Linked DNA regions of Notamacropus eugenii. The protein of the gene in region 2 purifies or fractionates together with the protein of the main gene of each other region. This does not show direct contact. Links are inferred from orthologs where the notes say so. Each region holds a gene or a part of one and is shown on either strand. Other genes may lie near its edges. The genes, in order: DNM1L, SERBP1 and TSR1.

Region 1 (10,612 bases), on a different chromosome or scaffold from region 2:
GAGCAGTAAGGAGTTACAGGAAGAAACAGACAAGAAGACCATACTAGTAGGGGACTTCAACCTCCCCCTCTAAGAACTAGATAAATCTCACCACAAAATAAACAAGAAAGAAGTTAAGGAGATGAATAGAATTTTTAAAAAGTTATATATCGTAGACCACTGGAGAAAACTGAATGGAGATAGAAAGGAATATACCTTATTCTCAAAGTTATATATCGTAGACCACTGGAGAAAACTGAATGGGGATAGAAAGGAATATACCTTATCCAGTGTGTACATGGCACACTTACACAAAAATTGACCATGTACTATGGCGTAAAAACTTCACAATCCAATGCAGAAAAGCATAAATATTAAATGTATCCTTTTCAGATCACGATGCAATAAAAATTATATGTAATGAAGGGACATGGATAGATAGACTAAAAGTTGGAAACTAAATAATCTAATCCTAAACAATGAGTGGGTCAAACAACAAATCATAGAAACAACAACTTCATCCAAGAGAATGACATTGAGACAACATACCAAAACTTGTTGGATGTAGTGAAAGTGGTTTTTAGGGGGAAATTTTACATCTCTAAATGTTCACATGAATAAAACAGAGAAAGAGGAGGTCAATGAATTGAGCATACAACTAAAAAAAGCTAGAAAAAGAACAAATTAAAAATCTCCAATTAAATACCAAATTAGAAATTCTGAAAACCAAAGAGGAGATTAATAAAATTGAAATTAAGAAAACTACTGAACTAATAAAACTAAGAGCTGGTTTTATGAAAAAAAAAACACCAATAAAATAGCTAAAACTTTGTTTAATTTGATTTTTAAAAAAGAATAAAACCAAATTATTAGTATCAAACATGAAAAGGGTGAATTCAACACCAATGAAAAGGCAACTAAAACAATAATTAGGAACTATTTTGCCCAACTGTATGCTCATAAATTTGACCATCTCAGTGAAATGGATAAATTTTTACAAACACTTAAATGGCCCAGATTGATGGAAGAGGAAATAAAATGCTTCAATAACCTCATTTCAGAAAAAGAAACTGAACAAACCATCAATGAAAAAGAAAAAATCTCCAGGGCCAGATGGATGTATGTACAAGTGAATTCTACCAAACGTTTGAAGAACAATTAATTCTAATACTATATAGAGTATTTGGGAAAATAGACAAAGAAGGAATACTACCAAATTCTTTTTATGATACAAATACAGTCCTGATACCTCAACTGGGAAGAGTCAAAACAGAGAAAGAAAAATGTAGACCAATTTCCCTAATGAATATAGATGCAAAAGTGTTCAATAAAATATTAGCAAAAAGATTACAGTGACTTACCATGAGAATGGTAAGTACATTATGACCAGGTAGGACTTATTACCAGGAATGCGGGGATGGAGGAGGATGGAGGATATAGCATCATTGCCCAACTGGAACTGATCATTATTACTACTCACAGACTATTGCGCCTCCTTTTTTCTCAGAGGCCCAATGACATCAGGAGGGTGAAGCCTTGACTTGCAAGTGAATTCGATATAAGTGAAACAGGGCTTGCAAAGTTACCAGCCTCGCTCTCTCCTCCCCAGTCACTGGAGTGTAGTGGCAAGACATAGGTCAGGACTTGGACCTAGAGGCGGCAGGTTCCCAGCCCCTGTAAATTTGGCCTCATATTTTAGAGAAAAAATTGAGATTTTTCACCATCCTCTTTCTCATATTATTCAGATGACTTCTGCTTCTATCTTCTTTAACTGTCTCAAATGATAAAGAAGGCTTTTTCCTTACCAAGGCTAACTCCTCTACCTGTTCAAGCAATTCCATTCTATCCTGTCTCCTCCAATATCTTGCTCCCTTTGCTATCCCCCCTCTTATTTATTTTTACCTTTCCCTTTTTACTGGCTCATTTCTTACTGCCTACAAACATGCCCCATGTTTTCCCCTTCTCAAAAAAACCAAACTCATCTGATCCTTCATCCACAGTAACTGTAATCCAGTATTTCTTCTGTCTTTTATAACTAAACTCTTCAAAAAGGCCCTCCACAATAGATGCTTCCATTTTCTCTTCTCTCACTTTCTTCTTAACCTCTTACAATATGGCTTCTGACATCATTCTACTAGCACTTCTCTCTCAAAGGTTACCAGTGATCTCTTAATTGCCTGATCCAATGGCCTTTTTTCAATCCTCCTTCTCCTTGATATCTCTGCAGTTTTTGAGACTGAGGATCACCCTCTCTTCCTTTCTCTAGATTTTTGGAACACTACATTCTTCTGATTTTCCTCCTTCCTATCTGACAGCTTCTTTTCATTCTCCTTTGCTGGATCCTCCTCCAGATCATGTCCTCTATCCATAGGTGTCCCTCAGGGTTCTTATCCTCTCTCCTTTTCTCTTCTCCTATACCACTTCACTTGGAGATCTCATCCGTTCACATGGATTAAATTACCATCTCCATGTTTGATTCTCAAGTCTACCTATTCTGTATCAACCTCTCTTCTCACTTTCTTTCATTTCCCATTGCTTTTTAGACATCTCAAAATGGATGTCCAAGTAGACACTAACTAAACATGTCCAAAACTCATTATTTCCTCTCCACCCCCTTCCCTGTAACTGTAGAGGGCAACACCATCTCTTTGACCCTCAGGCTCACATCCAAAGAGTTAGTAACTTCTATATCTCATATTCTCTATATATCCAAGCTATTGTCAAGGCTTATCAATTTCAGTTCTTCAGCATTTCTCACAGACATTCCTTTCTCTCCTTTGATACTACCATCACTATAGCATAGGCTCTTATCACGTCACACTTGGATAATTCCAATAGACTGCTGGTGGATCTGCCACCAAAGACTTATGACATATAAAAACTTCAAGAGACATAGTTTTGGATAATTATTTTATTAATCATGCCAGCAATAATTGCTCAGGGGCTTTCTTGAATATCATAGACCTCTCATGCAATCCACTCAATGTTTATGCCCTTGGAAGAGTGGGTGTACCTGAGGGTGACTATCAAATCTGATTGGTTAACAATCAATGTGAAGAATGAATATTATAATGAGAGATGGATCTATTCTAATGAGGGGCTGGGACTTGTGACTCTGATCACTCCTTTTTGGACATAGAACCATAGATTAAATTCTTTGTAAGGTTCTTTCGTTGAGTAGGTCAACACTTCCAAGATATCATCTCATCATCAGCCCTTTTCTTCAGAGAACTAAGCTTTGATCTAATCTCCAAATGAAGATGAGAAAAAATCACTGGTCTCCCTAATACTTGGTTATTTAATAATCATTTCTCTCAGACTTGAGGTCTTTCCCTAATCCAATTCATCCATATAGCCATTAAAGTGTTTTCCTAAAGCACTGTTTTGACCATGTCTGTCCCTTCCTCAAGAAACACCAGTGGCTACTGATAGCAGTCAGGATCAAATAAAAAAATGCTTTGCATAACCTACCCATTCCTACCTTTCCAAACTTCTTATGCCATACTCCTTGCCATGTATTCTTTGATCCAGTGATACTGGCCTCCTGGCTCTTCCAAAAATAAGGCACATCTCTTGGCTAAGGGCATTTTCTCCGGCTGTCCTCCATGCCTAGAATGTTTTCCCTCTTCAAAACTGCCTACTGACTTTCCTGGTTTCTTTTAAATCTCAACTAAAATCCCATCTTTTACAGGAAGCCTTTCCTAATTCTCTTAACTCCTAATGCCTTTCCTTTGTTAATTATTTCCCATTTTTCTTTATATATTTGTTTGTATGTTGCGTTCCCTATTAGACTGCAAATTCCCTGAGGGCAAGGATTGTCATTTTCCTCTTTTTGTTCCCTTTTTTAAGTCCTCCAGGACTCAGCCTAGTGTCCGGTATACATTAAGTGCTTAATAAATGATTATTGATTGATTGTAGCTGGCTCCAAATGAGGGACTCAGGAACTCTTTACCTCTCAAAATAATCAGGCTCCCTCCAAAGAAGGAAACATCTATCTCAGGATTGCTGCTTGAATAGCTTTATGCAGGGAATGAGAAACAATTGACAACAGGTAGCCAGGATCTGAGGCTTCAACTCGGGCTAACAATCAGGTAATCAGCCTAAGTCCTGCTATGTGCTGCCATAGGTTCTTGAGGTTGTAGGGGTGTGGAGAAAGTACATCTAGCAGAAGGGGAAAAGAACCTCTCTCCTTTCTCTTCACCAGAATTTCCAGGCACACGTTATAAGAGTACAGGATTATATATTTAGAGTCATATGCCTTCCTGTTCCAGATGAGGAAAATGAGGCTAAAAGAGCTGAAGTGATTAGCACAGCTATGAAGTGGCAGAACTGGGATTAGAACCTATGTCCTGTTTCCAAATTCTGCATATTTTTTTTTCAATTTTCCCATGGTAACAACTGTATAGGACAGACCTAGAGCTGAAATTCCCTCTCCCTGAAACTGACTAGGTTCTTCCTGACTCAATGGTCTTTTTTTTTTTTTTTTGAAAGAAGGACCCTCTGCAGCCCCAAGAAATCAACAAAGTTAATTGGCGTCCTAAAGCTATGAGGTGTCTCAGTTCTGTGCCGAATGGGGGTCTCAGGCAGGAGGCAGAAGAGTCCAAGTCTGCAGCATGATGCTCCAGTGGGGTATGTTTTATCCCGAGAAGTTCAGGGGGCCCTCTCCTTAAAGGAGTAACACAAATATGTATTACATATAAATATATGTGTATATAAACATATGTGTATACACAACACATAAGTCATAATGCATACACACATATGTATATATATATGTATATGTCCTCAACCTCTCAAACAATTTGAAGTAGTCTTTATTAGCAAATTAAAGGTAATGAAATACTGATCAGTTTCCTCGTGCTGAAAACGGATCTCCCAGCTCTTAACCCCAAGAACCTGTAATTCTGATTTGTTACCACAACAGGCAAACTTGTAAAAGCACCCAGAGCAGTTTCTCCCCACCCACCCTTTCTTTCTCCCCGGACTACAATTCCCGTCAGCCTTTGTGACTCTCTTCTGTAGTCCCTGTCCACACCCCTTTTTGGCGCACAGCTTGATGGGAGGGAGTAAGTAAAGGGGCGGACCAAGTCCAATGGGTGCTGGCTCTAGAGGAGGAGGAAGAAGAGGGGGAGGAGGAAAGCGACTAGAAGGTGGAGGTGAACTCCGGGCCCGGCCTCATTCATTGCTTCTGCCCGGCGGGTCAGGGGCCTTGCGTTCCAAGAACCATGGAGGCGCTGATCCCAGTTATCAACAAGCTCCAGGACGTTTTTAACACCGTGGGCGCCGACATCATCCAGCTACCCCAGATCGTCGTAGTTGGAACCCAGGTAATGCTGGGGCCTGGGCTGGCTGGGCCGCTGCACTACAGCAGGCTAGGCCGCCTCTAGGCCTCAGGGCAGGGCCAGGCGGGGCAGGGTGGGGTTGGGTGGAGCTGGGGGGCCCGGCCTTTTGCACCCTGCAGCTACTCTTTCATCCGGTTGTTTGGGCCTCCCTGGGGACTGGGAGGGATCCTGGTAGGCGGAGTCGCCTCGGCTCGGCGCGGCGCCGGTCCGGGGAGCTATGGTGGTGTGGAATGAGCAGGGAAGGTGCCCTGGGGAGGGCCCTCGGTTTCCAAGGGCAACTGAGGGACAAGCGGGGTGCGTGGAAGGGGAAGCCGCCCAGGAGCTCAGGATCGGTGCCCGAGTTTGCTCGGCAGTCTCGGTGCTTGGTTTTCCTTTTCTCACCTCTCGGGCTCACCCTGGGCCGCAAAGCGAATTATGGATCAGAGCAGCAGAATGTGAGAGGGCTTCAGGGTTCATCCGAGCCTTGTGAAGTTTCACCTTCCGGGATTCTTGAAAAGCTTGGCCATTACGCGCACGCGCACGGGGCACCATCCCCCATCCCCACTCCCACGCTGGCGCGCACGCTGTCCCCTACACTGGCCTCACACCATAACACTCCCCCCCATTACCCCCCGCTGTGGTGCTGGCGAGGGTCACCTGGGTTCGCCTCTGCAGGGCGTGGTTTTTACCTTCTCTGATAAAACACTTTACTGCCATAAATGTTCTTCCCACTGTGAGACTGGGCAATCCACGCTGGCCTGCTCACAGAATTGTGGAAGCGAATGCTTTAAAGTATAGGAAGTCATATTCCCTAATGTGCCTTAGTGAATTAGGGAGAGTGGAAAGATGGAAAGGTCTCTGTCTTGTTTTTCCCTAGTACTTTGCTGGAATAAGGGGTGAAGTAGAATCGTATGTTGGTTTTTGTTGTGAACTGAAGACCTGAGAAGCTATCTACATGTTTTCGTTTCCTAATAACAGTTCATGAGAGTATATTTATAGTGCGTTTATTTATGATCTGTATAATATATATGGAAAGAAATAGGTAATTTGTTTTTGAGGGGGAGAGAAGATAAGGAAAGGCTTTATATGGAAGGGGACACGTGAACTTGGAAAACAAAAAGGGCAAACTCATGGAGATTGGAAATGGAGTATTCTGTAGGAGAGACAGTGGTGATAAGACTGAAATAGGTATTCTGGGGCCAGGTTGTGCAGGGCTTTAAGTGCCAAACACAGAAGTTTGTATGTGATCCTGGAAATGATTGGGAGGAGACACTGGAATTTGATATGGGAGGTAGGTTAGATTTGGGCTTGAGGAAAATTATTTTGACAGCCTTGTAGAAGAGGAAACTTAAAGAGTGTGAGCAGTTGGGAGGGGTGGTGTGGGCCCTGACCAGGAGTGGTGACAGTGAGATTAGAGAGGAGGAGACAATGTGAGAATTTTTGGAGATAGTTGGATTTGATACAGAGAAAATACAAAGACAATATTGCTTCAAAATGGTAACTACAGTAACCATTAACCAATTTCCCCCCTCTAATCTGCGAAGGGACTTTTAAACAGCATGTAGACCAAATTGTAGAGTTTGACTGAAAAGGGATCTTAGAGGTTAGTTGTGCAAGTTCCTTCATTTTACTCATAAGGAAACAAGCTCAGAGAGATAAATGACTTGCTAAAGATCATATAATGGTAGAACCATGAATAAGAATCCTTGCCTCCTGGTTTTTAAACACTGTTCTTTCAACCCTATATTATAGAATTAGTGGTCATAATATTCAGTCAATGTGACAGCATGGTGAAGTGCACAGTGAGCCGACTTTGGGATCAAGAAAATCTGATTTCCAAGTCCCTCTTTTGACATATGCTGACTTAACTATATGACCCTGGGCATGTCCTTAACTTTTCTGTGCTACTCTCTAAGTATTCTAACATTTGCAAAGTTATATTGGTGGGAGGGAGTGTCCTCCTTCCCTTTGTAAGGAACTCATGTTCCCTACAAAAATAAAACCCCAGGTTTGGTTAAATACAAAAAAAGTTGAATTTTGCATATATATATAGAGAGAGAGTGAGATACATAATAATTGAGACAGCTAGATGGTGCAGAGGATAGCATGCTGGGCTTGGAATCAGGAAGACTTATCTTTGTAAATTTAAATCTGACCTCAGATCACTTAGTAGATGTGCTGATCCTAGACAAGTTATTCAAACCTGTTTGACTCAGTTTTCTTATTTGTAAAATGAGCTGGAGAAGGAAATGATAAACCACTCACGTATCTTTGTCAAGAAAATACCAAACGGTCATGAAGTCAGAAGTCATTGAACAACAAGAACATGTAATAATTAATGCTTGTATTAATAATTCTGTGAAACTATAAGTTCTTAAAGTACCTTTTGAGATATTAAAGGAATAAGTCATCTTCAGGTTTCAGTAAATTTTATTGTTTACCATTGTTTTCTGAATTTGCGATTTTAAGGACCCTTCCATTTTATAGTCTATATTTAAGAATTTTAATAGTTACATAGTATCATGGGGAACTATTTTGGAACTGTTTCCTGGCTGTAAAAGGCCACTGCGAACCAGAAACTTTCCATCAATTTTAAAGCTCTGTGTATATAGGAGAAATATGAACTTAGCAAGAAGACAAAGAATCAGGCATATAATGTGTCAACATAAATAGTTTAAGAACAAGAAGGATTTATCTTACACTTAATGGAGTTTATTTCTCTCAGTATACTGATGAATATATTCATGAACTAGCCATTAAATTGGGAGGAGCTATGAGAAAAGAGAAAAAAAAACCTTTGTGAAAACCAGTGACTTCTTGAAAAAATCTATAATTGATGCCTCCATTTCTTAGATCATGCATTTAGATCTCTAAGGGTCATGTATTCCAACCATTTCATTTTAGATATGAAACTGAGGGTCAGAGAAGGTTAGTGACTTGCCCAAGGTTACACAGCCATTATTTGTCAGAGGTGAGCCTTAAACCCAGGTCTACTGGACTCTGGAGCCAGCTCTCTCTCCAAATGCTACAGTCTCATAACAGTGATTTATTAGATAATTGATATTAAATACCAATACACTTGATTAAAATTGCCTTGTAGTTATTTACATTAGTACATGAAATATCACATTTATTTTTACATATTTTATGTAGCTGAATTTTTTGGGATTTACTACTCACTTGTAGCTTACATAGTCCCATCCAGAATCATATTTAAATGTTTCCCCATTAATTACTAAATTGCGTCATTTAAGCTCTGATCCCTCACCCCAGCTTAATTGAATATTTTAATAAGCTAGAGAAACCCCCTTCTATAAGTGGTGGCTCATATCTTTATATATGAGAACTCCTGATCTGCTCAGTTAATTACTGGCTACATATAATTTGTTAATGTTGCCAGTCATAACACAGACAGGTAAATATTTACAATGTTTTAGCTGTGAGAGTATCACAGCTAGAATCACTTCAAACCATTTAACTGCAGATGTCTTTGCTTCTAAAAACACAGGCCTTTCTTTAAGGATATCAATTAAAGTCCTTTCTCAAGAATTCTCTCTGCAAGATAGAGAGTTCCATAAATAAAAAGGTCTCTTCATTCTCTTTTCTTTGCCTTCTTACAGTTTCTTTTAGCTTTGAAACTTCTCGTGATGTACTCTCTCAGTTTGTTCATAGCATGACCATTAAACTGTAGGTGTACTTCACTCCATTTCTTGTCAGTCATCACAGTCAACTAATACCAGAGTACAACATACACTTGCCATTATGTCAAGATGCTGTGTCTTTTATAACAGTAACAGTAGTTAGAGCTTTTGTAGAAGAGGCTACAAGAGCTAGAATTACACTGATATTTTTATTCACCTTCATTTCTCTCCCTGCCTTTTAGGATTCCTTTTAATAAAGACTTTAAAAAGGAAGGGGGAAAAGGCATTTAAGGTAAACCCGGGAAAGGAGGTAACATTTTGTTACATTTGTAACATTTTCTGTTGTAAGTTGATCACTCCCACTCCAGCCATATTGTGAAGGATAATATGATTTCATTCTCTTAAAATTTTTTTAATGGCATGACTATTTATATTCATTTTATCAGTTTTAAACTAATTTTGGTATATGGTATAAGTCTGACAAATCCTTTTATTAAGGGAATTTGTTCTGTGAAGTTTGGATTCAGTTAAAGGACTGCACTTGAGGACCTAGAGGGCCACATGTTGCATCAAGGCTGCAGGTTCCTGGCTCCTGGTATAAGAGGTTGATCTAGATCTAGTTTTTGCCAAGCTGCTTTCTAAATTTCTTAGAAATCTTGTCAGAAAAGGGAGTGTCCCCCTCCCTCCGCAAAGTAATTTCTTATTTATTGTGTTTTCCAGACACCTAGCTACAATTTGTTTTAAAAGCGATGTCTTCATTATACTGTAGTCTACTAATGTGCAGTATTATGCCTAAAAAATGTGCATGCTTTGATTTAAAATACTTTAAAATTGCTAAAAAAAAATGCTAATGATCATCTGAGCCTTCACCAAATTGTAATCTTTTTTGCTGGTGAAGGGTCTTGCCTCCTTGTTGGTGGCTGCTGACTGATCAGGTTGGTGGTTGCAAAGGTGGAGGTAGCTGGGGCAATTTCTTAAAATTAGACACCAATGAAGTTTGCTGCCTCTATTGACTCTTCCTTTCACTTGAACATTTAGAGGCCCTTGTAGGTTATTAATTGACTTAATTTTTGATATTGTAGTCTTTCAGGGAATAGGGAGGCCAGAGGAGAGGGAGAGAGACTGGGGATGGCCAGTCAGTGGAGCAGTCAGAACACAAATAACCTTTGTGAATTAAGTTCACCATCATATATGGGTATGGTTCATGGCACCCCAAAACAATTATAAAAGTAACATCACTGATCACAGATAGCCATAAAGCTATGATAATAATGAAAAAGTTTGAAATATTGTTAGAATTACCAAAATGTGACACAGGGATACCATATGTGAACACATCTAGTTGGAAAAATGGCACCAATAGACTTACTCAATATGGAGTTACCACAGACCTTCAATTTGTACTCAACATTTGTCAAGCGCAATGAAGTGAAATGCAATGAAATGAAATGCCATAAAGGAGATATACCTGTATAGTTTCCCATAATAGAGTTGCTGATTCAAAATGTGCTGACATTTTAGTCACTTTATTTGCATAATTCCAATTCACTCTTCAAAATGTTTTTACAGGTGGTTTACAGCTCCTCCAATAAATATTAGAGTGCCTAATATTCCATAATCTCTCTGACACTTACTGTTGCCATTTTTTTTATCATTTCTGCCATTTTACAA
Region 2 (9,986 bases):
TCTGGAGGATCCTCTGACTCCTTTGAAGGTCGTTTTCCAGCCTTCAGTCAGTTAAGAAGCATGTATTAAGCACCTACTGTATGCCAGACACTCTGCTAAGCATTAGGGGTACAAAGAAAGCCCCCCAAGAGTACCTGCCCTCAAGGAACTCCCATTCTAATGGGAGAGACAATGAGAAAACCACTCCAGACATGCAAGAGACATACAGGATAAGCCGAGGGTAATCTCAGCCTGGAGGCTTCTGATCAAAGATAAAATTTGGGTTGGGACTTGAAGGAAACCAGGGAAGCGCTTTTAGGGTTTAGGCAAGGCCTTGGGATGCAGGAGGGCATTCCAGGCACAGAGGACAGCCAGAGATAAGGCCTGAAGTTGGGGCAGCCATGGGGCACGGAGCATCTTTCCAGGAACAGCCAGGAGCCCAGTGTCACTGGTTGGAAGAGGGCCTGGTGGGGAGCTAGACCCAAGAAGACTGGAAAGGTAAGACAGGGTCAGTCAGGAAGGACTCTCAAAGCCAATCAAGGTTTTATATTGGGTCCTGGAGGCAATGGGGGCCACTGAAGTTTATCATTCACTCTCTTTTCCTCCAAGACATTCTGTGTGCTTTTCTGCCAGATTTATTTCTTTCCTTACCTGTGGATCTGGCCATCTGCCTCCTCTGGGCCAAAATTATTTTGGGCTCCCTACTGCCAACAGAGCAGAGTTCAGACGCCTTTCTTTAGCATCAATCAATCAACAAGCATTCATTAGACTCCTACTGGCAAACTAGGCTTCCCTGGGCATCTGAGGACAACAATGAAATTACCTCTACTCAAGAGGTGCTTTTTTTCCTAATGGAGGAGACAAATAAATATGTAATAAAAATACACAACAAACACAGAGCCTTCCACTACACAGTGTGAGTCACCTTTGCCCCCCATTAACTCTAGTTAAATTGTCCATTTTCTGGGTCTTGACATAAGCCTTGTTCCTTTCCAAGTCTGGGCCTTTTCTCAGCTTGTCCTCTGTGCCTGGCATGGCCTCCCTTGACTTTGCCAGTCTTACCTCCTCCAGGAAGACTGCTCCTCTCGGTCAATAAGGGACTTCACCGGATCTGAAAAGCAGTGTAGCCTCCAATTCCAGTAGACCCTGGTTCAAGTCGACCCTCTGACTGGCACTAGCTGGGTGCTTGATCAAAGTGAATAAAGTACTGGACTTGGATCCAGATGATGAGTGCTCCGATTCTGCCTCACACACTTCCTAGCTCTGGGACAGTGGGGTTAATTACAACTTCTAGAGTTAGTAGGGGTTCATGTGAACATGAAATGAGATAACAAGGATGTTTGCTATCACTATGATCTCATTAGTAGACAGAGCTTCTGCCTAGGAAAATCTCAGGTCTGGTTTTTACAGCAGTTCAGTAGCATACTTGATTATTAGGCAGAGACTTGATCTTTTCTAAAGTTGGAAGGGTCTCCCCTGGCACTGTTGGTGTTTAAGAGACATTTGTTGACACCCCCCCCCCCCCCACTAGTAGACTGTAAATGTCCTGAGGATGGGCATTTGTTTTTCTCTTGTCTGTGCCACCTACCCCCTTTTCTCCACACCTGGTGTGCTTTTTGGAGTGGATAGATTCTAGGTTTTGGGAATGAGTGTGGAAATTCCCAGAGCCTTTTCCTGTGAGTTGTTTCCAGGATGGGAAAGTACCCCCCATCTGTGTCTCTTTTCCGTTGGTGTAGGATCTAGAGGAGCAGAGATGATTGGATGGGAGAAAAGAGAAGAGGGCAGATTGGCAGTCATTTGGGGGACAGTTGGAGGCAGGGGGCTGGATCGTTGTTGATTTTGTAGTCTGAGAGTTGCCTGGCCTCTCTTACTTTGTGAAAGCTCTGTGCTAAGCCCTGAGGATGGGCATCTTAGCCGAGTCAGCTCCTGTTCTCCAGGACCTTACAATGTAATGCGGAAAGAGCACACAGAAAAGCTAGATGACAAGGACAAGGGAGCTGGGGACAAGCCTGAAATGGCTATACAGAACACCCTATGTTCTACACAAAGATCCTGTGTATACATACAGCTGTATATATTTGCATAGTCTTCCTTATTAAACTAGAATGTGAGTTCCTGGAGGGCAGGCAACGAGGTTTTCCCTTTTTCTTGGTATCCTCCAGACTTAACTTTGCAAGTTTTTAATAAATGCTTGTGAACTGACTGGCTAAGACAAAATAACAGAAACACTGGTCGGTTAGCCAAGGAGGAGCGTTCTCTGGGAGAACTCGGATTGCTCTCCTGGCCTGTGGTGATACTTGGATCTCATGGAAGCTAGAAAATGACAAGGCTAGGGTAATGCCTTGTCTCTACAGCAGGAGAGTGAATGAATGAATGAGTGAGTGAGTGAGTGAATGAGTGAGTGAGTGAGTGAAGGAGTGAAGGAATGAGTGAGTGAGTGAATGAGTGAGTGAATGAATGAGTGAGTGAGTGAAGGAGTGAATGAATGAGTGAATGAGTGAGTGAAGGAGTGAATGAGTGCATGAAGGAGTGAATGAGTGAGTGAGTGAAGGAATGAGTGAGTGAGTGAATGAGTGGAGTGAGTGAAGGAGTGAATGAGTGAGTGAAGGAGTGAGTGAAGGAGTGAAGGAGTGAAGGAGTGAGTGAAGGAGTGAATGAGTGAGTGAATGAATGAGTGAAGGAGTGAATGAATGAGTGAAGGAGTGAATGAATGAGTGAAGGAGTGAGTGAAGGAGTGAATGAGTGAATGAATGAGTGAGTGAATGAGTGGAGTGAGTGAAGGAGTGAATGAGTGAGTGAAGGAGTGAGTGAAGGAGTGAAGGAGTGAGTGAAGGAGTGAATGAGTGAGTGAATGAATGAGTGAAGGAGTGAATGAATGAGTGAATGAGTGAGTGAATGAATGAGTGAGTGAATGAATGAGTGAAGGAGTGAAGGAGTGAATGAGTGAATGAATGAGTGAGTGAATGAGTGGAGTGAGTGAAGGAGTGAATGAGTGAAGGAGTGAGTGAAGGAGTGAATGAGTGAGTGAATGAATGAGTGAAGGAGTGAGTGAAGGAGTGAGTGAATGAATGAGTGAATGAATGAATGAGTGAAGGAGTGAGTGAAGGAGTGAGTGAAGGAATGAGTGAGTGAATGAGTGAGTGAATGAGTGAGTGAATGAATGAGTCAAGAAGTGAGTGAGTGAAGGAGTGAATGAGTGAAGGAGTGAATGAGTGAGTGAAGGAGTGAGTGAAGGAGTGAATGAGTGAGTGAATGAATGAATGAGTGAAGGAGTGAGTGAAGGAGTGAGTGAAGGAGTGAGTGAATGAATGAGTGAATGAATGAATGAGTGAAGGAGTGAGTGAAGGAGTGAGTGAAGGAATGAGTGAGTGAATGAGTGAGTGAATGAGTGAGTGAATGAATGAGTCAAGAAGTGAGTGAGTGAAGGAGTGAATGAGTGAAGGAGTGAATGAGTGAGTGAAGGAGTGAGTGAAGGAGTGAATGAGTGAGTGAATGAATGAATGAGTGAAGGAGTGAGTGAAGGAGTGAGTGAGTGAATGAGTGAAGGAGTGAGTGAAGGAGTGAGTGAAGGAATGAGTGAGTGAATGAGTGAGTGAATGAGTGAGTGAATGAATGAGTCAAGAAGTGAGTGAGTGAAGGAGTGAGTGAGTGAAGGAGTGAATGAGTGAGTGAATGAATGAGTGAAGGAGTGAATGAATGAGTGAAGGAGTGAATGAATGAGTGAATGAGTGAGTGAATGAATGAGTGAGTGAATGAGTGAGTGAGTGAATGAATGAGTGAAGGAGTGAAGGAGTGAATGAGTGAATGAATGAGTGAGTGAATGAGTGGAGTGAGTGAAGGAGTGAATGAGTGAAGGAGTGAGTGAAGGAGTGAATGAGTGAGTGAATGAATGAGTGAAGGAGTGAGTGAATGAATGAGTGAAGGAGTGAGTGAATGAATGAATGAGTGAAGGAGTGAGTGAAGGAGTGAGTGAGTGAATGAGTGAAGGAGTGAGTGAAGGAGTGAGTGAAGGAATGAGTGAGTGAATGAGTGAGTGAATGAATGAGTCAAGAAGTGAGTGAAGGAGTGAATGAGTGAGTGAATGAATGAGTGAAGGAGTGAGTGAGTGAAGGAGTGAGTGAAGGAGTGAGTGAAGGAGTGAATGAGTGAGTGAATGAATGAGTGAAGGAGTGAGTGAAGGAGTGAGTGAATGAATGAGTGAGTGAGTGAAGGAGTGAATGAGTGAGTGAATGAATGAGTGAAGGAGTGAGTGAGTGAAGGAGTGAATGAGTGAAGGAGTGAGTGAAGGAGTGAGTGAAGGAGTGAGCGAAGGAGTGAGCGAATGAATGAGTGAAGGAGTGAATGAATGAATGAGTGAAGGAGTGAGTGAATGAATGAATGAGTGAAGGAGTGAGTGAAGGAGTGAGTGAGTGAATGAGTGAAGGAGTGAGTGAAGGAGTGAGTGAAGGAATGAGTGAGTGAATGAGTGAGTGAATGAATGAGTCAAGAAGTGAGTGAGTGAAGGAGTGAATGAGTGAGTGAATGAATGAGTGAAGGAGTGAGTGAGTGAAGGAGTGAGTGAAGGAGTGAGTGAAGGAGTGAATGAGTGAGTGAATGAATGAGTGAAGGAGTGAGTGAAGGAGTGAGTGAATGAATGAGTGAGTGAGTGAAGGAGTGAATGAGTGAGTGAATGAATGAGTGAAGGAGTGAGTGAAGGAGTGAGTGAATGAATGAGTGAGTGAGTGAAGGAGTGAATGAGTGAGTGAATGAATGAGTGAAGGAGTGAGTGAGTGAAGGAGTGAGTGAAGGAGTGAGTGAAGGAGTGAGCGAAGACAGGCCCCCCCAGAAGGGTCACGGCTGCCCCTGGCCCAGCCCTTCGCCCCAAGGCGGACCCTAGGGGCTCTCCAGCCGCCGCGGCACCCCCCCCCCTTAGCAGACCCCGACGCTTGGGGCGCACACAGGGGGAGCTTGGAGGAGTTGGGGGCGTGGCAGGCGCCCCTCCCCAGGCCCCCTGTAGGCGGGGACGCTCCGGGGGGCGTCTTGGGGGCTGGGGGGCGGACCCAGCCCGGCAGGGGGGCAGGAGGAGCCTGGCCGTGGCGGTCACAGCGGGGAGGGGGGGGGGGGCACCCCCGGCGGGGCTGGCGGGGGGCCCGGCCGGCTGAAGCCCCCCGAGGGCAGGCCGCTCTCCGCCTTCTCGGCATGCAGGGGCGGCTAATAAATGCACACCGCCTCCTGCCCACCGCGGGACGCTCGGAAAACCGGCGCTGCCTCGCGCGGCCTCAGTCTCCCGGCCTGGAGAAGAGGAGTAGGAGTGGGCGGGCCCCACGCCGGAGGGAGTGACCTTGACCGTGCTCGCCACGTGCGGCCGTCCTCGCCCGCCAGGGGGGCGGGGGCGCGGGGCCGGAGGCGGCAGGTGCTCGGGCTCGGGTCTCCTCCCCCGCCTCCCCGCCGCGCTCCGCCCTCCCCGCGCCGCTTCGCGCCCGCCGGCGCGCGCCGCCCCCTGGGAGTTGTAGTCCGTGCTGGCGCAAGCTCGGGCGGAGCGGCGCCGGCCGCCTGCCCTTCCCGGCGTGCCCCGCGGCGCCGGCGGCTCCCGGATGTGTGCGCGGCGCCGGAAGAGAAGGCGGTCCCTCTCTCGGCCCGGCCATCTTGTGGGGACGAGCTGAAGCAGGCGCCGTCGGCTCGGCGCGGCCCGCTGCAATCCGTGGAGGAACGCGCCGCCGGGGCCCCATCATGCCCGGCCACCTGCAGGAAGGCTTCGGCTGCGTCGTCACCAACCGGTTCGACCAGCTATTTGACGACGAATCGGACCCCTTCGAGGTGCTGAAGGCGGCCGAGAACAAGAAGAAGGAAGGCGGCGGCGGCGGGGGCGGCGGCGGGCCCGGGCCCAAGAGCGCGGCGCAGGCCGCGGCCCAGGCCGGCGCGGGCGGCGGGGGCGCGCCCGGGAAGCCGCTGCGCAAGGAGTCGCAGAAGGACCGCAAGAACCCGCTGCCGCCGCCCGCGCCGCCCAGCGCCGCCGCCTCCGGCCCGGCCGCCGCCACCGCGGCCGACAAGAAGGACGAGGCCCCGCCGCCGCCCGCCGCGCTCAAGAAAGAAGGTGCGGGCCGGGGAACCGCGGGGGGGAGGGGGGGCCCACGTGCGGCCCGGGAGGGGGAGGGAGCAGGGAGCCACGTGCGGCCCAGCCGGGAAACTGAGGCCGCGGCACGTGGCGAGCGGGGCGGGGGGCCGGGCCGGGCCCAGCGCGCCGGGGAGAGCGGAACCGAACCGGCCTCCGGGCCTTGCCGGGGGTAGCTGTGGGCATTTATCCGGGGTCGGTTCGGAACCGGCCCCTTGGGGACGGAGGGGGTGCGCCTTCGGGGGGCTTGCGGGGTTCGTGTCGGGGGCGGGAGCCTTTGTTCGTTCGGGGGTTTGGCCCCGGGCGCCCTCGTGCCCACCCTTCCTGCAGCTCCGCCCGGGCCCCCCTACTCCCAGAACGGGGGGCGCGTGCGGGCCACCCCCGAATCCCGGAGTGAAAGCCTTGGCGCTCCCGTCAGGGAGGCTCGGTGTCCGCGATGTGCCGGGCGCTCCTGGCCCGCGGGCATCGTGAATCCACAGGTCCCGTGTGCTTGTGGGGCGTCCTGCTGTGTAGACGGCGCCCGGGTCCTGTGTAGACGGCAGGGGGCGGGTCCCTGGGCCTCGCCGGACGTTTGTAGCTTGTTAGAGCGCGGCTCTGGGGGTGGCTTTCCGGGGGCTGCTGTTGGGGTCCGGCGCTGGCATGGGCGCGTTAGCCGGGCCTAAGCCGGGCCGGTCCGTCCGTGTGCGGGGCCGGCCGCTCTGCCCGCCTGGGCCGTCCCCGTCAGGAACCCCCGGCCGGGCTTCCCTACCGCCGCCCACCTCCGCGCTCTGCCCCGCAGGGATCCGGCGCGTCGGCCGCAGGCCGGACCAGCAGCTGCCGGGCGAGGGCAAGCCGATGGAGCGGAGGCTGGAGCGGCGGCCGCCCCGCGAGCGGCGCTTCGAGAAGGCGGCGGAGGACAAGGGCGAGGGCGCCGAGTTCTCGGTGGACAAGTGAGTGCGCGGGGCCTGCCGGGGTGGGGTGGGTGGGGGGCGGCCGGCCCCTGGGGGGCGCGGCTGGGAGCGGGGCAGACCCCGCGGGCCGACCCCAAGCTGCCGCTCTCGCCCCCCAGGCCCGTGCTGGAGCGGCCCGTGCGGGGGCGCGGCGGCCCCGGGGGCAGAGGCCGGGGAGGCCGGGGCCGCGGCCTGGGCAGAGGGGACGGCTTCGACGCCCGCGGGAAGAGAGAGTTCGACCGGCACAGCGGGAGCGACAGATCGTAAGTGGGGCCGCTGTGGGTGCGGGGGCTGCGGGGGGCTGCGGGAGCCCTGGGCTGCGCTGCGGCCGCGGCCCGCCACTGCCGTGTTAACTCAGGCGGGCAGTTCTTTCTCCCATTCGCATTTCAGCGGGCTGAAGCACGAGGACAAGCGCGGCGGCGGCGGCTCGCACAACTGGGGCACGGTCAAGGACGAGCTGACGTGAGTGTCCCCTCGGGGCCCCCCTCCCCTCGGGGCCCCCCTCCGCGCGGCCGCTCTGGGGGGGGGGCCTCGGGAAACCCTGGGGGGTCGTTGGGCGCTGGAGGAAACTGAGGCAGGCGCAGGGGAAGCCGGGTGCATGGGGCAGGATTTGAACTCGCACCTTTGCGGTGTCGGTCCTGTCCTTAGTAAGGTACGGTTTATCCGGAATTGGGATGTCGTGGAATGCTCGATGATCCGAGCTTTCCTTCCTTTCCTGGTATTTACGAACACGCGGACGGTTCTGGTCCCGTAGCAGCTGAGCTGGAGTATCTGAGTCTTGTTCGCTGCCGAGGATGAATGCTTTGATGCTCTTGCTGGAAGCTCGGGAATGTTTTGGGGTGGGGGGAGATAGTTGATGTTTTTATTTGGGGAGAGGGGCCGCACAACTGGGGAACGGATAAAGAACCAGGCGCCTTTCTTGTCTCTCTTTCTCTCCTTAGAGGGGGCCCCCAATACATTCAGAAACCAATGTCTTATAATTGCAGTGACTTGGAGCAAACCACTGTGACCGAGGAGACACCTGAGGGAGAAGAGCATCCAGTGGCTGACACAGAAAATAAGTGAGTTATCCTCTTATTCTCCCCCATCCCAAGCCACGGCCTCTCCCGAGCACAGGGACTCTGAATGGAGGTGGTGTTGGGTCTGATCAGAGAAGGCATTTTGATTGAAAGTGGAATAGTGATCATGAGGAAGAGAAGAGGAAAAGTTGACCAATTAATTGGAGATCTGGTGAGTCTCCTAGGTGACATTTTCTGATGGATGTGTCGGGGTAGAATTGGGGGAAGTTGTGGTAGCGCGTGGCACCTGTTTAGTCTTTTAATGCAGCCCCCACGAGGGACGAAGGGTCCGCTATATTTCCCTTTGACACTGAAATGGGTTTCACCCCATTTATGTGTTCAGTAAATCCCTGGATTCTTGTGTCTGAATGATACAGATTTCCTTTTAGATCAGGAACATAATTCTGAGAGGCCAGGTAGCTAGCTAGTGTTTCGTAACAGTTCTTCTTCTCCAGCCCGCAAGCCCTGAAAGTACATGAGCATGCACAGTCATTTTTTCCTGTCTAGTTTTAAGACAGAACGAAAGATTCTATTTGCATATACTAATATTCATATCCCCGTAGGAAAATCTGTTCTAAAAGGTGAAGTCTCTTAGCTTACATAGAGTTCAGGTGGTAAAAAGAATTACATCTGGAAAATCAAATGGATTAAAGTCAGGCTATTACATGAAGCATCCTGGAGAGCCATATTGACATGTTTGATAAGTCGGATTCATCTGTTTTTGTGCTAAAGTGCCTTTAATTTTGCAGTCGTTCCTTTAAGACAGAAACATGAGAGATTGTGGATAGCCCCCATCAGAAATCTAGTCCCAAGTCATCAGTTATCCCAGTGGAGCAGGATTGTAAACATTTGCTAGAGGAATATTAATGCCACTAAAAAGAGAAGACTCTTAGAAGCAAAAGCATTAACCAAAGTGATGGGGCACCAGAATTGGGAACCTCTAGTCACAGGACAGTGGAGGGACGAGGGGGGCGTGTGGGCTGCTTCTCCAGTGGGGATACCTTACTTTCTGTCCCCCTGTTGCCTCCCCTACATCTGAAAGCATATGCACTGTTCTCTACCCTGGGGCCCACCTCCTTTCCCCTCCAGGGCTGAGCCTCCTTACAAAGTTTTTCATGCTGTGCTCCGTTTCCTTTGCTAGAGTTAGGTTTGCTTCACTCTTCATCTTCCCTTGATCTAAACTCTTAAATTCTTAATATTTGTCCTGCCTTATGCACCTCGTGCTTAAAGAAATTGGAGTAGGGCATTCCAAGCTGAATTGACTAGCCTGCTTACCCACTGGCATAGACTTCTGCAGGGAGCTGCTTCTCATCACCCTTGCTACTAGCGCCCCCTCCAGAGCTGCCTTGGATTTGTTTCGTCCATGGTGGGGAGTACATACCGATCCACTCTTGTGATAGATGGGAGTGCTTTGAGCAAAGGTGGCCTCAGCTGTTAGTGTCTTTATCTCCCCAGTGCCTTGTGTTCTTCATCCACAGTATAGGGAATTTGCAGGATTGGTGATCCGAATGAAAGGTTTTACAAGGAGTTTTTTAATAGGCTCTACCTGTATTCAGTATAGGTAGGGTTCTCTTGTCCCTTGAGAGAGGCTATGCTCATACTTCAGGGATGTGCAGGTTCTTCTATCAGTGCAGATTAAAAACCTGCTCTGGCGCAGCCAACCTGGTAACGGCCAAATGCTGGCCTCCCTAGGCTGCGCTGGCAGTGAAGCCCATCCCTAGTACCTGTCGGCAGCGGGCTCCCCACCGGCAACTTGTCCAAGATCTCTGCATCACCTCTGTGCCGTGACATCCATTCCTTTTAGGCATTTTTCTTTTTTCTTTTAAACTTAAATACAAAATAAGAAAGCGAAAAAATGTGTGTAGCAGAACATAAGAGAGGATTTAAAATGCAAAGCAATTTCTATTTCAAGCAAGCCTGTAATAAATA
Region 3 (10,107 bases), about 490 Mb from region 2:
CAGACCTGAAATGATCCTCAAATTTCCCTCAGTATACTAAGCCTCAGAGAAGCAGTTGGTGAAACTGATGGCCCAGACAGGCTGAATCTAATGTCCAGTGGAGGCAACTATGCCTGCCTGCTGGTGTTAGTCTGGAAGTGTCTGGGCCACAAAGGGTTCTGGAGGTGGGGTCCCCAGGCTTGGTGGGATGAGGTCTCCCCAGTAGATAATCTATCCCTTAAGAAGGTCAGACTGACTTAGCACAAGGTAATGCATTCACAACAAGGTCAGGGGTTGTTCACTCTTGAGTCCTCTCAGATGCTTCCTATAGACTTGAGAACCCCAGCCTACTTGCAGGTAGAAAACCTCCACCCCTGGTATCTTGGCATCCACCCAGATATGAGGGCTACTTTTTGTGGCCTACCTTCTTCCATCAATTGGCTCTCCCAGACTCAGGGCTCCCCTGGATCTGGGGAGGGGGCTTTTATTTCTTCGAGGATCATGCTTTTAGTTTACTAAGCTATCAATGGCCCAGTCACCAAGCATTATTAAGTGCCCACTATGTGTCAAGCACTGGGCATGCAGAGATTAGAAAAAGAACAATGCCTACATTCTAGCTGGTTCCTAAGAGTGCTTGAATTTTAACTGGGAGACAGGGTTATAGATCAGCAGGAGTGATACTATCCATTTTGGTAGGGTGGGGGGATGGTGGTGCCTATTTATTATTCCACATTAAAGAAAGTCTGGTCCTGCCTGCAAGAGGACTTTTTTTAGCTTGGGGCTCCACTTAGTGAGAAGCAAGGTAAAGTTTCCCAGAACCAATTCATTTTTTTTCCTCCTGAGGCAATCAGGGTTAAGTGACTTGCCTAGGGTCACACAGCTACTAAAGTGTCAAGTGTTTGAGGTCAAATTTGAACTCAGGTCCTCTTGACTCCTGGTGCTTTAGCTATCTGGCCACCTAGCTGCCCCAGAATCAATTACTTCTAAAGTCCTACAGGTGGAGATGTGAATAACTTCAGGGTTAATCCAGGGAATGTGAGAAGCCTTGCTGATTCCTGGGGCTTGTAAATTACAGGCATGCCTCCTTACTCCTGTTTGGAAACCACTCATTTTGATTAGGTCTCATTCATTAAGGAAACAGTGGAAAGAAAGAGTGCTGGACTGGAAGTCAAGAAGACCTGAGTTAAAAAACCAACTTTGTCATTAAATAGCTGTGACCTCAGGCATGTCATTAACCTTTCTGGGCCTCAGCTTCCTGATCTGTAAAGTTGAGGTGGTTGACCCCTCAGTTCACTTCCAGCTCTAAATCTATGATCCTATGATGGCCTGGCTCGACATCTTCAGATTCCTGGCCTCCCCCTCACCTGACAAACCTCACCAATTTTCAGCATTGTCCAAATATAACCCGGTTAGGCTAGGCTCTTTGTCCTAGTTTGCTTTTTTATCAGTGTGTCCTGCTTCCCACATCATCCGGCCCATCTCCCCTGAGAACAGAGTCTGTTTTCTACTTGTGAGCTGGTTTTATTTATTTCCCCTGGGTAAGATTCAGTTGGTCATCAGTCTGCCTGTCTGGGGATCTGGTGTGTTTAATGTCTTCCTGGCTATGTTCATTCAGGTGCATTCAGGAATCTCACTACTAACAGGGGAGATTAGGATGTTCAATATTCCAGGGCAAGAACTGTCTTTGCCTTTCTTTGTACCTTACAGAGCTCAGTAGAGTGTCTGGTGCATAGGAAACCCTTAATAAATACTTGTTGACTGGCTGGTTGAATTAGGAGGCATCCTTCAAATTTCAGAAGCTTCATCCCTACCTTTGTGGAAAGGAGTAAGAGAATGGATATACAAAGGAAAGGCAGTCAACCTTGGGTTTAAGAGTGGGTTAGTGCAGTCCTTCCTGAAGGAAGGAAAAGAGGATTCTTTGCTAAGAAGCAGTATCCCTGCCCCCAAAGACCCCTGAAACCAGCCTACCCTGGGTCCTGAAATTGGTCACCACACCAGCCTCTTGGATCCTGCCAGACTTCCATTTAGCCTTTTACAGGGTCTAAGAGACCATCTAAGCCTTGGTCTACCACACAGCCCAGCATGCCCCAAGTAAAGAATTCCCCCTTTCCCTCTAGGCTCTGAGGGGAGGGGTTCTCTTTTCCCTAGGGACATTTGCTCTCAAATAGCTCAGAAGTAGGGTTGGGGTGTGTGGATATTGGGATGTCTATGGTTGGAAGACAGGGCCCCAAGATCAGGATGCAGAGAAAGGGGCTTGGTTGGCTTGAGTATAATAATAAATGCTTGGGTCGATTGGACATTTTCAGAGATGAACCCCATAAAGGGCAGAGAACATGGCAGGGCAGCTAAGACCATAACAAGGGAGGGAATCACACTGATGGAAGGGGGAAATGGCATCTGAAAGCAACAGGGAATAGAAGAGGCCAGAGTGGCAAGGTACAAGGAAACTGGGGAAGGGGGCATCCCTATTTGGAAAGTCAAGGGTTCCCACAGGCTGAAAATGTAGAAGATCGCACGGGTGTTTCTCAGGCAAGAACCCGATAGTGGTTTGGCTTATGGGGGTGGGAGGAGGGAGAAACAGTCTGGGTGCGGAAAACCCTTCTGCAGCAAAGTCCCAGGTCCCGGGAGCCGGGAAGCTAAGCTTCCAACTTCAACGACCCTCGAGCCCCAGAGCTGGGGGTGGGTGCCCTGAATTGCCCCGGCTCCCAAGGGAATCCATTCAGAAACCGCGCCCCGCCCCCCCGTTTCCCTCCTGCGGGGTTTCAAATGAATGAACCTTATCCCCCTCCTTCAATCTCTTCCACAGGAACTACCTCTCCCCCCTGGCCCCCCTCCCCGCTCCCGAACTGCTGCTGCCGTCATAGGGTGGGGAGCTGCAGGGACCGCGGAGAAAACAAGCACCGGGGAACGCTGGATGAGACTCTCCCCCTCGTACAGGGTCTTCCCAAATCAGAGAGGGTCCTTCCAAAGCAAGAAGGGGACCTTAAAGCACTGGGCCACGCCGAGGCTGGACCTTTTGGAGTCCTATCTCCCGACCATGCTGGGGCTTGTTGGGGTGCACCCACTAGGACCGGGCTCCTTGCATTCCCGGCGCGAACCTCACCTCCTTTTTGACGTTCCACAGTAATTTCTCTTTGATTGCGTCCTCGGTGCGGCTCATTGTGCCCAGGGGAGCGGAGCCCCGCGCCGACTAGCCCCGGCTGCTGCCACTGGCCCCGCTCCTGGTCCGGTTCTCCGCGGTTCAGCTGCCCGCCGGCAAGGCGGAGCCCCGGCCCGCCGCTGCCGCCGCGCTCACGGCACCCTGCAGCCGCCGCTGCCCGCCGTTCCCCTCCGCAGCCATCTTCCGAGCCCGGCACAGACAGACGTCAGGAGGCTGGCCCGGCCCCTTCCCACAGCCGGGGGAGCTTGGGGAGGCGGGAGGGGGAGGCAGCGTCTACCTGGGGCGGGGGAAGCGAGGAGGGCTGGCCTGGGAGCCGCGTGCCATCCAGCAGCCGCCGCCATGGCAACGAACTCCCCCCGCCCACCCCCGCACCCCTAGTCCCGAGGGCGTGCGTCTGGAGCACTGCGAGGGCCCCCCACCCATCCACCTCCTTTGACCCGGGAATGGTGGGAGAAAGGAGGGGACAATGCAACAGGATTCCCCTGGGTGGGGAAGTGGGAGGCTTGGGGAGAGGAGGGAGACTCTTTACCCGACTGAAAAGTAGAGGGCCCCAAAAGGTGGATGCCACCCAAGTATAACGGCTTCTCTTGCCGAGCAGAGAGATCAGTTCGAGGGCATAGGCAACTGGAGGGGAGCGTCTACAAGGCGAGCCCCGTGGATTGAGAACCCCGTAACTGTGGCAGGGTCTAGAGCAGTAATATTAGTCCTTCAGGGCTTGCAAGGAGCTATCCTCCGCCCCAGCTCGGGACTTGGGCGAACCTTAGGCCAGCAGGGTTTCCGAAGGGATGGAGAAGCACCCCAGGCTGGAGGCTGGGAATCTGGGTGATGAAATAAACATGAATTGCTCGCTCTCTCGCTCACTCGCTCTTTCCGCTCCTCTACCTTCTCTCAGAGATGAAGTCCAACGTATATCTGGCTATATCTTTGTGTACCAAATTGTTTGCATGTAGTGAACTCGTGGAGAGCAATGGCTATTTTTTTTTTTTGCTTTTCTTTAAATCCCCACCCCCACCCCCCGTGCTCAGCACAGTGCCTCGTGCGTAAAAGATGCTTAATAAATTGATATTGCTTGACTCGACTCTGCCTCCGGATTCGTTCCAGGGCGGGTACCCCCTGTTTACAATCCGCAGCAGCTGGGGTGTGGGGAGCGATGGCAGGGTTGCAAACTCTGGGTCTTGGAGTCGAGTTAGGCTTAGTTTGGCCAGAGACAGTCACAGGATGATGTGTGTGTGTGTGTGTGTGTGTGTGTGTGTGTGTGTGTGTGTGTGTGTGTGTGTGTGTGTGTGTGTGTGTGTGTGTGTGTGTGTGTGTGTGTGTGTGTGTGTGTGTGTGTGTGTGTGTGTGTGCAGAGGTGAAGGGACTTGCTTTAAGCCTGAAACATTCGCTTAGTCCCAATTCCAGAAGTTAGGAGAGAAGACTTAGGCTGAGAGGCATCTCCCCTCTCTGAGCCCATTTTCTTTTCTGTTAAGTGACTTGGGAGACCTAGAAAATTGGGTGGGTTGTTCTTTTGTCTGTCTGTGGCATTCAGGGCGGAGCACGGCGCCTGGCACACAGTGGGCGCCTCATAAATTTTTGATGATAATGGTGATGAGATTACCTCCCAGGGCCCTTCCAATTCCAAATCCTTTAGTTCCCCGGGGAGTTCTGCAGAAAGGAAAAGGACACTAGGGCCCTGAAAGGAAGGAAGGAAAAAAACGGTTGATGTGAATTGGAGAAGTCACGAGCAGCTCTGGGCTGCAGGACCAGACGCAGAGCAGTGGAGGCTCCGTCCTTGTGTGCCAGAAGCTCGGAAGGGCCTGGGGGTGGGGTCTCCATAGTCACAAGCAAATAGCCAACCTGCCCTCCCATCCCCCGCAACTAAAGCAGGGTATTCTCGTAAACCAGGAGACAAGAAGCAAACTCCGAGGCCGAGGGAGGGTTCTGGGGAAGCCTGACCGAACTTGCAATTAAAGCCCCCAAGTCCGCAGGTGACCACGTGGGGGAAGGTTAGAGCGCGATAGGCTGTAGGTCTCAAATACTCCCATTGGCTGAGGAGTGATCTACTCTTGAAACTGGGGAAAGCCCCGCCCCTCCACCGAAACTCCGCCCCCTGGCAGAGCCCCCACCCACTCAGGCCTCTGTGCTGGCGGAACCGGAACCCCTGGGCTTAGCACCGGAAGTCGTAGGTTCACGCACGTGGGGAGCAATATGGCGGTTCATCGCGCCGGCCCGCTCAAACAGCAGAATAAGGCCCACAAGAGCGGGCGCCACCGGGGTCGGGGTTCGGCGCAGCGGGACGGCAAAGGTGAGGGGGTCACGGGAGCGGGCGGAAGGAGGGCTCAGCTCAGCCCTTTCTCCGTCCTTGCGGGCGCAGGAGGCCTTTCTCCGCCCTGGCCTCCGCCGTAGTCGGCCGCCTCGGCTGCCGCAGGGCCCCGGACTCACGGTCGGCTCTCTGCCCTCCCGGGGCCGCCTTCCAGGTCGCGTGGCCGTGAAGGCCCTGAGCAAGAGGAGGAGGAAGGAGCTGAGCCGAGTGGACCAGAGGCACCGGGCCAGCCAGCTCCGGAAGCAGAAGAAGGAGGCGGTGAGGCGGGGGGTGGGGGCTGAACGCCTGCCCCCAACCCCAGCGGCCCCCTTCCCTTCCGCGGCATCTCCCGAAGTTTAGCCGAAACTCCAGTTTCCTCCCCTCTCACGTGGCCGTCGCGTGGGTTCAGGCCGCCCTCCTGTCTAAGTTACTGCCATATCCTACTGGACCTTTCCCTGTGGAGCCTCTCCTTTCTCTGTCTTTCCTCCACGCTGTTTTCGAAGTAATCTTCCCAAGAAATAAGTCATCACGAAACTCCCTGCTCAGAACCGCCCTCGCCTCCCGGCACTGCTTCCTCTCCCCTGCTGCCTTTCCCGGACCACCCCCCTTAGTTCCCTGGTGCTGACTCCGTGCTGTAAATCTCACGGAGAACAAAAACTCCTGGCAGACAGGGACAGTCCACTTTTGTCCTCGTGTCTCTGGCCTCTCCCCCAGCGTCCGACACAAAGATGCCCCATAGTGGTTGATGAGGAGGCCCTGCCTTGAGTTAGAGGTCTGGTCAGCATTCTTCTCCTGGCCCCATCGCTCGCTGTAGATAGAGCATCCTGGTCCAGGGTGCAGGATGCCTTTAGAGACAGTGTGGTACCCCCAAATAATGTTGTTGCATGTAAGAGTTGGAGAACCAGCAATTTCATCCTGGCCTTGCTGTGACCCGGAACAAGCTCCCTCCCTCAATAAGACTTTGTTTCCTTAAGACTGGAGGTTGGGTTAGATAGTTTCTCAATTCTGTGGTCCTCAAGGTAGAGAGATCATTTGAATGGAATACTGAGTATGAGAATGAGGGAAATAGGGCAGGTGGACCTGCCTGTGAAGTGCTCACCCGCCTCTCTTCTCTGTCCTCAGGTTTTGGCAGAAAAGAGGCAACTGGGCAGCAAGGATGGACCACCTCATCAGGTGCTGCTGGTGCCCCTGCATGAGAGGGTTTCCCTGGGTGAGGCTTTGCAGCTGCTCCAGAACACAGACAAGAAGGTTGTGCCTGTGGGGGAGCAAGCTGGAATGCCAAGCTTCATGCTGCTCTGTCCTCAGCTGAAGCATCGATGGTTCTTTACATCTGCAAAACCAGGTGGGTGAAAGGCCAAGGGAGGAGCAGCGTTGGGCTGAGCTTGACTTGGACTGTCCCTGTCATAGTTAGTTGGCCAGTGTTCTTAGTGTTTTCTGAGTGTTTGTGATGTCTTGTTGATGCCTTGTGAATCCAGGCGATCTGCACACTCTGTTGGACCTTGCCAAAGTGGCTGATACCATCCTGTTTGTTCTGGATCCAGTGGAGGGCTGGGACAGCACAGGCGATTACTGCCTCTCTTGCCTCTTTGCTCAGGGGCTTCCTACATATTGTAAGTGAATTATGATTATCAGCCATCTCTAGGAGAGCGGTAGGATCCTCTTCTTAGGGGCCAAGTTACCCACATAGTACTGATTGAGTGTCTTAGTTTGTGGGTTTATCCTCCGTCCCTTGTCTGCCACCTCTATGCTGGGTTTGGTGCTCTGTGTTTAGTGCAGAGTGAACGGTTCATTAATTGCAGTGGGCTTTCATGGCTCATAACTACTTGTCTGTTTTTGTGCCCAGCTCTAGCCCTCCAGGGGGTTGGGGGCCTTCTCCCAAAGAAACAAGCAGATGCCAAGAAGAAGCTGAGCAAGGCCTTAGATAAGCGATTTCCAGGAGACAAACTGCTCCAGTTGGATACCCAGCAGGATGCAGTGCTGCTTCTGCGACATCTGGCTAACCAGAAGCAGCGGCATCTGGCCTTCCGAGACCGGCGTTCCTACTTGTTTGCCCATGCTGCTGACTTTGTGCCCAGCCAAGAGAGCAGCTTGGTGGGCACCTTAAAAGTTTCAGGCTATGTTCGTGGGCAGACTCTCAACGTAAACCGGCTCCTGCATATCGTTGGGCATGGTGATTTCCAGATCAAGCAGATTGACGCACCCCCAGACCCTTTTCCTCTAAATCCCAGGGTGATCAAGGCCAGCAAAGGCCTGGACATGGTGATGCAGGTGTGTGGTATCACTGGGCTGTACTTGCTGATGATCGGCTGGTTTCCAAGGAAGCTGGCAGCTCGTTTTTGTTTTTTGATTAAAAATTTTTCTTTTTTGTTAATTGTTACTGGAAAGAGAATGATAGTTATGGCTAACTCTGTAGATCTGTATTGGCACGTAGTAAGTGCTTAATCGATGCTTTTAGTCCATTACGTTCCATCTGAAAATAGACTAGGGATGCCTCTGTGCTTTATCTAAGTCATGGTTTGAGAGATGAAATCATCAGTGGGAGAGACATGGTTAGGTAACAGCTGGTCTGAAAAAATCTCCAGGCTTTAGCAGATCACTATTCAGCATGAGTCAGGCAGGTGAATATGATTTGGGGCTGTACTAAGGCCAGGGAGGTGGGAGACCTTCCCTCAAGGGGAAGAACTCTCCAGGTGAGGGGAATAAAATGGATAAAGGGACAGGTGCAAGGAGGAGCAGCACATAGTCATATGCTAGCAAAGACATTGGCCCTACTAGAGGTGGGGGGGATGTCTTGGAGAGTGATGGAGGTTGCTGAGGAGGGTGGAAAATAGGCAGACCTGACTACTTAGGAAATAGCCATTGAAAATTTACCAGCAGGTTCTTGGAATCCTCTATCGCAGAAAAGCAGCATTTAGGGAAGATCGCTGTGGCAGCTAAGTGACACTATAGTGCACAGAGCACCCTGCTTGAAGTTGGGAAGCCTCAACTTGAGTTCAAATCCAGCCTCAGTCACTTAATGGCTGTATGACCTTGGACAAGTCACTTAAACCTAGTTGCCTCAGTTTCCTCATCTGTAAAATGATCTGGAAAAGGAAATGGCAAAAATCTCTCTGATATTTTTGCTAAGAAAACCTCACATGGGGTCATGAGTAAAAAATGACTTTTAACAAAGTGTGGCAGCCACATGTAGGATAGATTCGAGCATAGGAAAGGAGGGGGTCTTTTTTGTTTCTGCCTTAAAATGAGCTGAGTTGTGTTAACCAACCATGTACCTCTCTCTGGCCCTAGTAAAGAAGGTGTCGATTAGAAGAATGTAGCCTTAACCACCCTTAGTAAGGGTGAATTTTAGCTCAAGGTGAAACTTAATCCTATTGTGAAATGAACCTGTAGAATAAGTCAACATTTAGGTGGCCCCTGAAGGCTTGCAAAGTACTTTGTATATGTTATTTACTTTGTAATGACCCTGGGAAGTGAATGTCATTATTACTGGGCTAGGTGGTCCAGTCTGCTACCAGGCCATCAACTGTGGGCTTTTAGTGTGAGAGCAGATGGCAGACAGAATCAGTGTGGAGGATGCCAGCCTTAGTGGGATGGGGCTGGGGAGCAGAGCAGCCTGCTTCTGATGTGTAGTTGGGGGAATGGGGGGTACATAGCATCCATGTTGTGCTCTTAGTAAGAAAACACCTGACTGAGTGACCTGTGGCTTGCTTCCCTCTCAGATTGATGTTGCTGATGCTGATGGTGCAGTTGAGATGGAAGAAGATCTGAAGGTCCTAGTGAAAGCAGACCCTGCTCGACAGGAATCTCTCCAGTCAGAAGTGGTTCCAGACCCCATGGAGGGGGAACAAACCTGGCCCACTGAGGAGGAGTTGAACGAGGCAAAGGGTTGGTCCCCCTTTTGGTCCTTTCATTCCTGTTCACTGGGATCCTGGGTTTCCTGGGGCCCCTCCTCCAGTGAAGGTCCAATAGGATGGGCAGCCAGGCTTGGTTGTGGGGGAAATGCACGCACCTCCTGAACAATGGAGCATGGCTTTGATCTGTGTTATTCAGTCTGCTTGGATCTGAGTGCAAGCATGGAATCAGGAGAGGGGACTTCCAAGGCAGGAGGTTGTAATCTGGTTTGGTACCTGTTGGTGTTACTTGGAAATGAGGCCAGTGACTGAGTTTTCTTTGGAGGTAGACTTCATTCCGTCTCCATAGACTTCCTTAGGGTAGACAAGGCTAGCCCTTCCTTTGGGCTGCACGTGAGTAGTAGTACTTGGCTAGACTTTTTTTTGGCTTTTTTTTTAAATTTTATTTTTTGATTAACAACCATTTATTTTCTCTCCCCTGTCAACCCTCTCCCATATAAGAAAAACAAAATGCTTGTAACAGAAATGCATGGCCAACATTGTCCCTGACTCTGATTGTATTTGACAGACTTCTTAAAGCAAAGAACCAGAGTGGTGAAGAAAGTCCCCAAAGGAACATCCAGTTACCAGGCTGAATGGATTGTGGATGAGGAAGCTGGCAGCAGTGGTGAGGAGGAGGACGAGGACAGCGGGGAGGAGGAGACTGAGGATTTCATGGAGGAGGAAGATTCTGGGGTGAGCAAGGCCGAGGGCAGCTGTGGAACTGCAGCTTTCATTACTGAGATCAAGGCTGTAGCCACGCCCGGAGATCTGATGTCCACTAAAGTAGACAAGGG

What was found.
Region 1: the proteins of SERBP1 (region 2) and DNM1L purify together in Homo sapiens (affinity purification with mass spectrometry; 3 studies listed by BioGRID and IntAct, with this or other methods). This does not show direct contact. The link is inferred for Notamacropus eugenii from reciprocal best matches to the Homo sapiens genes SERBP1 and DNM1L.
Region 3: the proteins of SERBP1 (region 2) and TSR1 purify together in Homo sapiens (affinity purification with mass spectrometry; 3 studies listed by BioGRID and IntAct, with this or other methods). This does not show direct contact. The link is inferred for Notamacropus eugenii from reciprocal best matches to the Homo sapiens genes SERBP1 and TSR1.

The regions. Positions count from the first base shown.
Region 1 is NC_092874.1:214,536,661-214,547,272, reverse strand, and holds the start of DNM1L (dynamin-1-like protein), read left to right. Parts: upstream 1-5,523; 5' UTR 5,524-5,538; coding exon 5,539-5,661; intron 5,662-10,612. UniProt on the Homo sapiens protein: Functions in mitochondrial and peroxisomal division.
Region 2 is NC_092873.1:527,950,146-527,960,131, reverse strand, and holds the start of SERBP1 (SERPINE1 mRNA-binding protein 1), read left to right. Parts: upstream 1-5,518; 5' UTR 5,519-5,688; coding exon 5,689-6,052; intron 6,053-6,848; coding exon 6,849-6,999; intron 7,000-7,118; coding exon 7,119-7,262; intron 7,263-7,365; coding exon 7,366-7,461; intron 7,462-7,940; coding exon 7,941-8,060; intron 8,061-9,986. UniProt on the Homo sapiens protein: Ribosome-binding protein that promotes ribosome hibernation, a process during which ribosomes are stabilized in an inactive state and preserved from proteasomal degradation.
Region 3 is NC_092873.1:40,319,730-40,329,836, reverse strand, and holds the start of TSR1 (pre-rRNA-processing protein TSR1 homolog), read left to right. Parts: upstream 1-5,289; 5' UTR 5,290-5,326; coding exon 5,327-5,423; intron 5,424-5,595; coding exon 5,596-5,699; intron 5,700-6,542; coding exon 6,543-6,762; intron 6,763-6,895; coding exon 6,896-7,030; intron 7,031-7,263; coding exon 7,264-7,688; intron 7,689-9,139; coding exon 9,140-9,305; intron 9,306-9,839; coding exon 9,840-10,006; intron 10,007-10,107. Other genes in the region: SGSM2 (small G protein signaling modulator 2), read right to left, coding at 3,083-3,139. UniProt on the Homo sapiens protein: Required during maturation of the 40S ribosomal subunit in the nucleolus.